2 linked regions of the Macaca fascicularis genome follow. Each later gene encodes a partner of the first gene's protein in a complex. Links are inferred from orthologs where the notes say so. Each region holds a gene or a part of one and is shown on either strand. Other genes may lie near its edges.

Region 1 (3,674 bases):
TTATTCTGCTTGCAAATCTTTCCTCCTACCACCCACTCAGCAAGATTTGGGAAGCATGGGTAAATGATGGAATTAAAAGGTCAATTTCTTAGGATGGCTATAAGACCAAACGTAAACTTCACTTAATCTATACCTAATCTAATTAGAAAACATCTGCCTAAGAATTAGAGAAAGAGCTGGGTGCTGTGGTGGCGCGTGCTTGTAATCCCAGCTACTCCAGAGGCTGCCTAGGCTAAAGATCTCTTGAGCCTAGGAGTCCGAGGACCAGGGGGAATAAAAAAGAGCTAGGGAAAGATCTACCCCCAGGGTACTGGGGCCTGCTGAGGCTGCTTGCCCTTGAGGCTTTCTTAGAGGAGCCAGAAAACCTGGGCCCAAAACCCACAAGGATAGGGGCTTGGATGGCCCAGGAGACACCTAACTGGGACAAGACAAGGAAAGAGCTTTTAGAGTATTCAGAACAGAAAACTGCGGGGAGAGCAACACCAGTTCCCTCCCCACGTAGCTCCCACATCAACACTTAGCCAGCAACTCCACTCTACAGAGTTTATTGGGTTTATAACTGGACGAAGTCACACGTGTACAAAATGAAGCTCACACTATCCCAAAGCAGACTAGGGACTGAGGGCTGGGGATCCGTTACTGGCCTTTGGGAGAGCTCTGAGGTGAGGGGTGCAACCGACCCTCCCACTCCAGAGGTGCGGCCACAGGCGTGGGAAGGAAAGGGAACCCACCTGGCTTTGGTCACAGAACTCAGAGCCTGGCACTAGGCCAGGACAGACAGGTGGAGGGGAGAGCAGGAGCCTCAGAACTTCCCTGTCCAGGGAGCCCAGGGGCTACTCCACCAGTCCCACTTGCAATGTGCTTGGCCCAGACCTAGACTCAGGGGCTGGTGCAAAGGGAAGGCAGCAAAGCAGGAGGGAGGAGACACTGATGTGTGGTGGGAGAGGGAGCGGCACCTGGACCTGTTGAAGAGGGTGGGTGGGGAGGTGGGCTAGCTGCCTAGTGGCAGCTAGCAGCGAGTTTCATAAATGCCGCTGCGGCCAATGTAGCGCACCCATTTGATGACATCATGGTCGCTGTAGTTCAGCTTCGGTTCAAATACCTTCAAGTAGCGCACCTTGAGGCCAGAGGGCGCAAATGGCACCTGGGCAAGGACAGCTCGTTAGAAATGTGGCCTTCCTCTTACAGCTGCTCTCCTCTGGGAAGTCCCGTTGCCCTGCTCTACTTCATCTCTACTACAGGTGTTTGAATGGCTGGGGTCCTTAAAGAAGCTGGGGTGGTGAGGGACCCTCTAAGAGGTGGCTGAAGAAGAAAGCCCTGCCAGTGACACCCGGAATCAGTTCCTTTCATCAGCAGGAGACAGCAACCAATGAACTGCTTTAGAACATACTTATCCTGCTCAATATTATGAACTTAAAAATAAGGTGGAGAAAATTATGTCTAACATGCACAAAGCAAAGTCAGTCCATTATCCTGTCTGTAAGTAAACTTTGTGTCTTACCTGGCATTTAAACAATCTAAGTTTTTCGAAAGAACTGTGTTAGGACAAGCTAAGAGAAGTGAAAGATTTGCCTCACTATGAATAGTAACTTCTACTAAGAGGCTTGAAAGGGGAAGAATGGATCTATGAATTAAAGCCAGTTCTTCTTTCTAGGCCTCAGTTTCCTCACCTCTAAGGTGCAGCGGTTTATCGGAATGATCTCTAAGAGCTTTTCCAGCATACCCTGGCATGACTCTAGGCCCCTCCTCTGCCATACCTCAAAGTTCATGGAAATGGGGGGTCGAGCCCATTTCTTCTTGTCGTTGGTAGGCAGAAGCTCAATCTCTGCGCTGATCTGCGATTCCTTCATGCCTGCCATGCGCTTGATCCTAGGAACACAGGGACAACAGGCAGCCCATTGTAGCTTGGAGAAGTTTCAAGGGCAGTTGCCCATTTTAAGGAGCACGCCCAGGAGCTTGCAGGAGGTGCCACAACAAGAAGTGGTCAGGACCCTGCTAACTACTTGCTATGGAAGCTTGGGTCTACTTCTTTAGGACAACAGGATGCAGTTTCTGCCTAGACACTTGGGCATGCTATCTTTGCTTTGTCAGCTTCACAGATACATTACAAAGGCAAGCAGGGAAATGCCAAAGCATCTTAAAAAATAAGCACGTGCATGAACCCAAATGCAGGCGTGTACATACTCACATGGAGGCATAAAGGCTGACAGTACAAGCAGAGGCTCCTAGAAAAGCAAAGAGGCACACTCCCCCACCCCTCATTCAGAAGGATCAAAGGTGAAAACAAGAGGGTACACTGGGATCTTGAACCTGCTGTGGCCTAATGAAGGAAAGACTCACTTCCACACGATGGCATTCTCGCTGGCCTTGTACTTGGCCTTCCCCTTCATGCAGATCACCTGCACCCCACTTGTGTTCAGTGGGGTTGGGATCCTCACCTAGAAGTGACACACCTGTCAGGGAGCTCTGTCAAGCTGTGACATCAGCTGCCTTTATTCCTAGGGACAAGTTCTTCCTCCTCCCCAAGCCCCCTGTCCTCACCTCAATCTTCTGAGCCAGGAGTGAGGGTTTAAAGTTGGACTTGATGACCACCTTGACCTCCAGTTTGGTGCGTCCCACTTCTCGCACTAGCGGGATCACCCGGAAGGGAAGGATGATGTCCTTGGTTGTGCGATACCTTAAGGGATGGGAAGCAAGGTTACCAAAGAGCTGACCCACTTCCTCTCCCCAATCTGCCAGCAGCACTGGCTGCCTCTTCACACCCCAATGGCACCTCATAAGCTCAAACTCTCCATCTGGTGGGATAAAGCTGATGCTGCGTTCAGAGTCAAACTTGCTGAGTCGTACACACTGGTGGAAGGTGCAGTCATCAATGGCAATTGATTGCTTCCCACTGCAAGCAGGGGCAGAAGAGGAGGTCTCATTGGTACAGGAGAATGACAGGTGTCACGCTGGGAGACCACTCCACCCCAGGCTGGCACCAGAGACTATGAAAAGCTGCTAGAATGCAGCTTTCTGACTCAGAGGTCTGCCCCAGAGCTTGGGATGAGAGGGAAACCTTGTAAACTCATCTCTTGGGGGCCCTGCTGCTTGGGACCTGGGTGTTTCAGGCACACTGGGCAGAGGAGGCTATCAGTATGTACAGAAGAGGCCTTGGTCCTAGGGACCAAAAAAAGGGGCTTGCTCTGAGGACAGTCCCCTCATCTCTCTTAGCACCAATGTCAAGAGCGAACAGCCAGGCTTACCGTCAGGAACAGAGTTTGCAATTACAGTGGGAATGAAATCCAGAAGAAACTTGTGGTTCACTAGACCCCACCGAGCCCTCCAAGGGACACCCTTTCCCACCAGCTCTCCTGCCTCAGGCACCTCTTGCTTGTTTCATCAGCTGTGCCTTTGCCCTGCTTTTCAATAACAATCTTGTCATTCATCCCAAACTTGCATTCAGGCATGCCACTCAGGTAGCTCTTCATCACCACCCGGCCCGACACATGGGCACTCAGCACCTGCCCTGATGATGGAACAGATAAATGGGGAGCAGCAGAGTCAGGCAGGCAGACCCAGGATCCTGCCCTGGTCCCCCTCCAGCTTTGTTGTGAGAGGGACCTCACCTTGTGGGGACATGAGCAGGTTCACACTCTCCAGCACATCCAGGAAGAGCTCATTCCGGCGATACT
Region 2 (4,548 bases), on another chromosome or scaffold:
TGATACTCCCACTGGCAGCAAATGCCAAAAGCAAAAAGCTGCAGGGGAGCTCCTGCCCCCAAATGCTTCAAGTCCAACCAGGGATGTGAGTTCAATTCACTGGCTAGCAGTGGGTCTCAAATATATATATGTGTGTGTATATATACACATATGTGTGTGTGTATATATATAATACGTATACATATATATTTTTGAGATGGAGTTTTGCTCTTGTGGCTCAGGCTGGAGTGCAGTGGCGCAATCTCGGCTCACTGCAACCTCCACCTCCTGGATTCAAGCGATTCTCCTGCCTCAGCCTCCCAAGTAGCTGGGATTACAGGCCTCAGCTAATTTTTTGATTAGGCCCGGCTAATTTTTTGTACTTTTAGTAGAGACGGGGTTTCACCATGTTGGTCAGGCTGGTCTCAAACTCCTGACCTCACCTGCCTCGGCCTCCTAAAATGCTGGGATTATAGGCATGAGCCACTGCGCTCGGCCAAAAAAAAAAAATTTTTTTTTTTGTTTTACACAACTCCATCAGTAAAATTTACCATTTTAACCTTTATTTTTCTTTTGGAGATGGAGTGTTGTCCAGGCTGGTCTTGAGCTCCTGGCCTCAAGCAATCCTCCCATCTTGGCCTTCCAAAGCACTGGGACTACAGGTGGGAGCCAATGAGTCCAAATCTGGGTGTGGGCCAGGTGGTTCTGATGTTGAGTCTGCACCTGGAAAGCCATCCTCTTGAATACTGTCTGTACCTACTGCTGCTGCTGACAGATATTGGAAGCCAAACCTGCTCCGTCATGGGAATTCCCTTGGGCAGTGTTAAGATTCCAAACCTCACCCCAAAGAGGGGGATTTGTTGCTTTTAAACAATTCCGCACATGAGTCTTCCACGATCAGGTAAACTTGGGAAACACAGTTCATTGGTTCCCAAACGTTGCTGAACATCAGAATCACCTGGGCACCTGATCATACTCTACAGCAATTAAATCAGAAGGTCTGGGTAGGCGTCGGGGCGCGGTGGCTCATGCCTGTAATCCCAGCACTCTGGGAGGCGGAGGCGGGTGGATCACCTGAGGTCAGGAGTTCGAGAACAGCCTGGACAACATGGCAAAACCCCATCTCTACTAAAAATACAAAAATTAGCCGGGCATGGTGGTGGGCGCCTGTAAATCCTAGCTACTCGGGAGGCTGAAGCAGGAGAATCGCTTGAACCGGGGAGGTGGAGGTTGCAGTGAGTCTAGATTGCACCACTGCACTCCAGCGTGGGCGACAGAGGGAGACTCCATCTTTAAAAAAAAAAAAAAAAGGGTCTGGGGACGGGAGCCAAGGATTCTCAGATGGTTCCAATGTGCAGTTTGGGGACCACTGCACTAGGCAATACGTGTCAGCCCAGCAGCTGTAGACACAAGAACACCCCAGGTAAGCCTTTAAAGTGGCCCCAGGTGGCAAGGAATTCTCATCTTCTCTCTTGGATTGTATTCAATAGTAACAGGTGCCAGCTGGGCGCGGGGCTCACACCTCTAATCCCAGCACTTTGGGAGGCTGAGGTGGGCGGATCACCTGAGGTCAGTTCAGGACCAGCCTGGCTAACATGGTGAAACCCCGTCTCTACTAAAAAATACAAAAATTGGCCGGGCGTGGTGGCGGGCACCAGTAATCCCTGCCACTCGGGAGACTGAGACAGAATTGCTTGAACCCGGGAGGCGGAGGTTGCAGTGAGCCGAGATCGTGTCATTGCACTTCAGCCCGGGCGACGAGAGAAACTCCGTCTCAAAAAACAAAACAAAACAAAAAAACCAAAAAAAACAAACAGGTGCCTTCAAGTACAATGGCACATTCAGCCAGGCCTGAGGGCGGCAGGGCATCTCTAGCCTAAGGGCGCAGCATGGGGAATGAATGACTAGGCCAGGGCAGGTACCATAAAAGCCCCACAATCCCACAAAACAAAGGAAGCAAACTTTAACTACTCTTGAAGTCTGACCTCGCTACTACCACATAGTGATACTGCCTAGTGATCAAAAGAAATGACCAGAAGCCACCGACCCAGAAGGAACCAAGCGGAAATTCCAAGCTTTGGTTTTGTCGGCAAATCAGCAGGATGGGAAGTGGAGAGCGAAGATTGAGACGTTCAGGGCGAAGCCCCTACAGCCAAGGGGCACTCTGGGGGGTCAGACAGGAGAGAGTAACGGCCTAGCCAGGCTTTGCCTTTATTTATTTTGTAAAGAGCAGGGTCTCGGACTGTCTCCCAGGCTCGAGTTAAGTGGTGTGATCATAGCTCACTGCAGCCTCAGCCTCTTGGGCTCAAGCGATCCTCCCACCTCAGTCTCCTGAGTAGCTGGGACCCCAGGCGCGCGCCACCAGGCCCGGCGGATTTTTAGTTTTTTGCAGAGACGGGGTCCCACGATGCTGCCCAAACTGGTTTCGAACTCCTGGGCTCAGGCGATAGTCCCGCCTCGGGCTCCCAAAGTGCTGGGATTACAGGCGTGCGCCACCGCGCCCGGCCCTGGCTATGGCTTTGAAACAGCAGCAAGCAGCCTCCCGCCCCCGGGGCCCGGCGCGGCGGCTGGGGCCCAGGGAAGGTGTCACCGCCTTGGCTCGCCGCCCCCGCACTCGCCCAGGTGACCGAAGCCGGGATGAGCCGCCGCACGGGGCGGACCCGAGGGTAGCCCCCGCCGCGTCCCCCGCGGCGCCCCCCGCCCGGCCCCGCGCGGCCGCGCTCACCCGATGACGTAGGCCAGGATGAGCAGCTGCACGGCGCGGTTCATGAGCCCCACTTTGCGGCTGCGGATGAGCACGATGCGCGGCGTGTCGTACTCGAACAGGAAGGCCGCCAGCGCGGCGCAGCAGCCCGCCATGGCCACACCGCCTGCTCCCCGTCCCCGAGCCCGTCTGGGTCCCAGTCCCCGCTCGGAGCCCCGCCCAGTCCGCCCGGCCTGCCAGCAGCGCCGTCATCATGGGGAGGGCCCGGAAGGAGGCGGCACCGGGCGGTCGGGGCCCGGGGCCTAGGGGAGGGCGCCACCTCCCCGTCTGGAACTGTGACCCTCTAGGGGGCATGGAACTCGCGGGGAGGGGGTGGCCTTGCCCTTGGCCTTGAGGACGAAAGGCTCCTTCAAAAGGCTGGCGAGGGGCCGGGCGCGGTGGCTCACACCTGTCATCCCAGCAGTTTCGGAGGCCGAGGTGAGAGGATCCTTTGAGTTAGAGACCAGCCTGGACAACATAGCGAGACCTCGTCTCTATCAAACAAACAAACAACAAAACAAACAAAACACAAAAGCAAAGAAGCCGGGCGTAGTGGCGCTCGCCTGTGGTCCCAGGTACTCGGGAGGCTGAGGTGAGAGGATCGCTTGATCCCGGGAGGTCGAGGCTGCCGTGAGCTGTGATGGCGCCACTGCACCCCAGTCTGTGAGATGAAGCGAGACCCTGCCTCAAAAAACCAGGAACCAAAAAACATCAAAAAAGGCGAGTTGGGGAGTGATGACCTTCGCAGGAGGGCCAGGGAGAACAAGAGACCCTTTCGGGGAAGATGGGGGCCGCTTCTCATTTGGGACCGAGTTCGAGTGAGGGGTAACAAGCGACCTCCCTTAGGGGTCCAGATAGGTGCCAGGGACTTCCGTAGAGGACCTGGGGGCTGTGCGGAGCAGCCATCGTTCACCAGTGCAGGCTCCTACACTGGGGGAGCTGGGGCCGCACTGTGCTCAGCCTCTTGGGGAACGGCCTAAGTATCAGGTGTCCTGTGAGCCCTGGGTGAGAGCCACACGCCCTGTAAAATGCCCCTCCTGGATTTGAAGCCTGGCCGCATTCTCACTCCAATTCAGATACTTCCTTAGTTGCAGCCCAGGGGAGATTATTCTGTGGTCATCCTTTCCACTGAGAAAACGCTATCACAACTTTAGGGGAGAATTGAGAAATAGCAAAAGTGGGGAAAACAGCCAGCGTTCTACCCCATGAATACAGTTTTCCGTATGTATATTTGTTCATTCCCTTCAGATATGCTTTCCTTTTCTTTCTTTCTTTTTTTTTTTTTTTGGAGACCGAGTTTTACTCTTGTCCAGGCTGGAGTTCAGTAGCACCATCTCGGCTCACTGCAACCTCCACCTCCCAGGTTCAAGCAATTCTCTTGCCTCAGCCTCTTGAGTAGCTGGGATTACAAGCGCCCGCCACCACACCCAGCTAATTTTTGTATTTTCAGTAGAGACAGGTTTTCACCATGTTGGCCAGGCTGGTCTCCAGCTCCTGACCTCCCATGATCTGCCCTCCTCGGGCTTGGGATTACAGGCATGAGCCACTGCGCCTGGCCCAGATATGTTTTCATAGATGAATGTTATATTTAGTTTCCCTAATGCATTCAGAAAATATTAATAAGCACATCCCATATGCCAGGTACTGTCCAGTGAACAGGACAAGCAAAATATCCTGCCTTCATGCAGCATAAATTCCAGCAGGTAATTGGTATAAAGTTTTGGTTTGTAATCACAGTCAATGGCTGTGCTTTTCATTTTCTGATTCCCACTACTTGGTTTCTATATTACTGCAGACTCATCATAATAATTTTTAATCCATGGGCC

Evidence for each region.
Region 2: the proteins of AP2M1 (region 1) and P2RX4 are in contact, whole or in part, in a crystal structure (PDB 2BP5), measured with the Rattus norvegicus proteins. The link is inferred for Macaca fascicularis from reciprocal best matches to the Homo sapiens genes AP2M1 and P2RX4. Residues at the interface, in NP_446289.1 of Rattus norvegicus: Phe174, Leu175, Asp176, Lys203, Asn217, Leu316, Ala317, Gln318, Lys319, Glu391, Val392, Pro393, Lys400, Val401, Arg402, Tyr403, Leu404, Ile419, Lys420, Trp421, Val422, Arg423, Tyr424, Ile425; in NP_113782.2 of Rattus norvegicus: Val375, Glu376, Asp377, Tyr378, Glu379, Gln380, Gly381, Leu382, Ser383, Gly384.

The regions. Positions count from the first base shown.
Region 1 is NC_088376.1:96,100,209-96,103,882, reverse strand, and holds the end of AP2M1 (AP-2 complex subunit mu), read right to left. Parts: coding exon 3,609-3,674; intron 3,509-3,608; coding exon 3,367-3,508; intron 2,894-3,366; coding exon 2,774-2,893; intron 2,678-2,773; coding exon 2,542-2,677; intron 2,439-2,541; coding exon 2,341-2,438; intron 1,870-2,340; coding exon 1,758-1,869; intron 1,145-1,757; coding exon 1,010-1,144; 3' UTR 530-1,009; downstream 1-529.
Region 2 is NC_088385.1:128,288,979-128,293,526, reverse strand, and holds the start of P2RX4 (P2X purinoceptor 4), read right to left. Parts: upstream 2,839-4,548; coding exon 2,705-2,838; intron 1-2,704. UniProt on the Homo sapiens protein: ATP-gated nonselective transmembrane cation channel permeable to potassium, sodium and calcium. CTP, but not GTP or UTP, functions as a weak affinity agonist for P2RX4.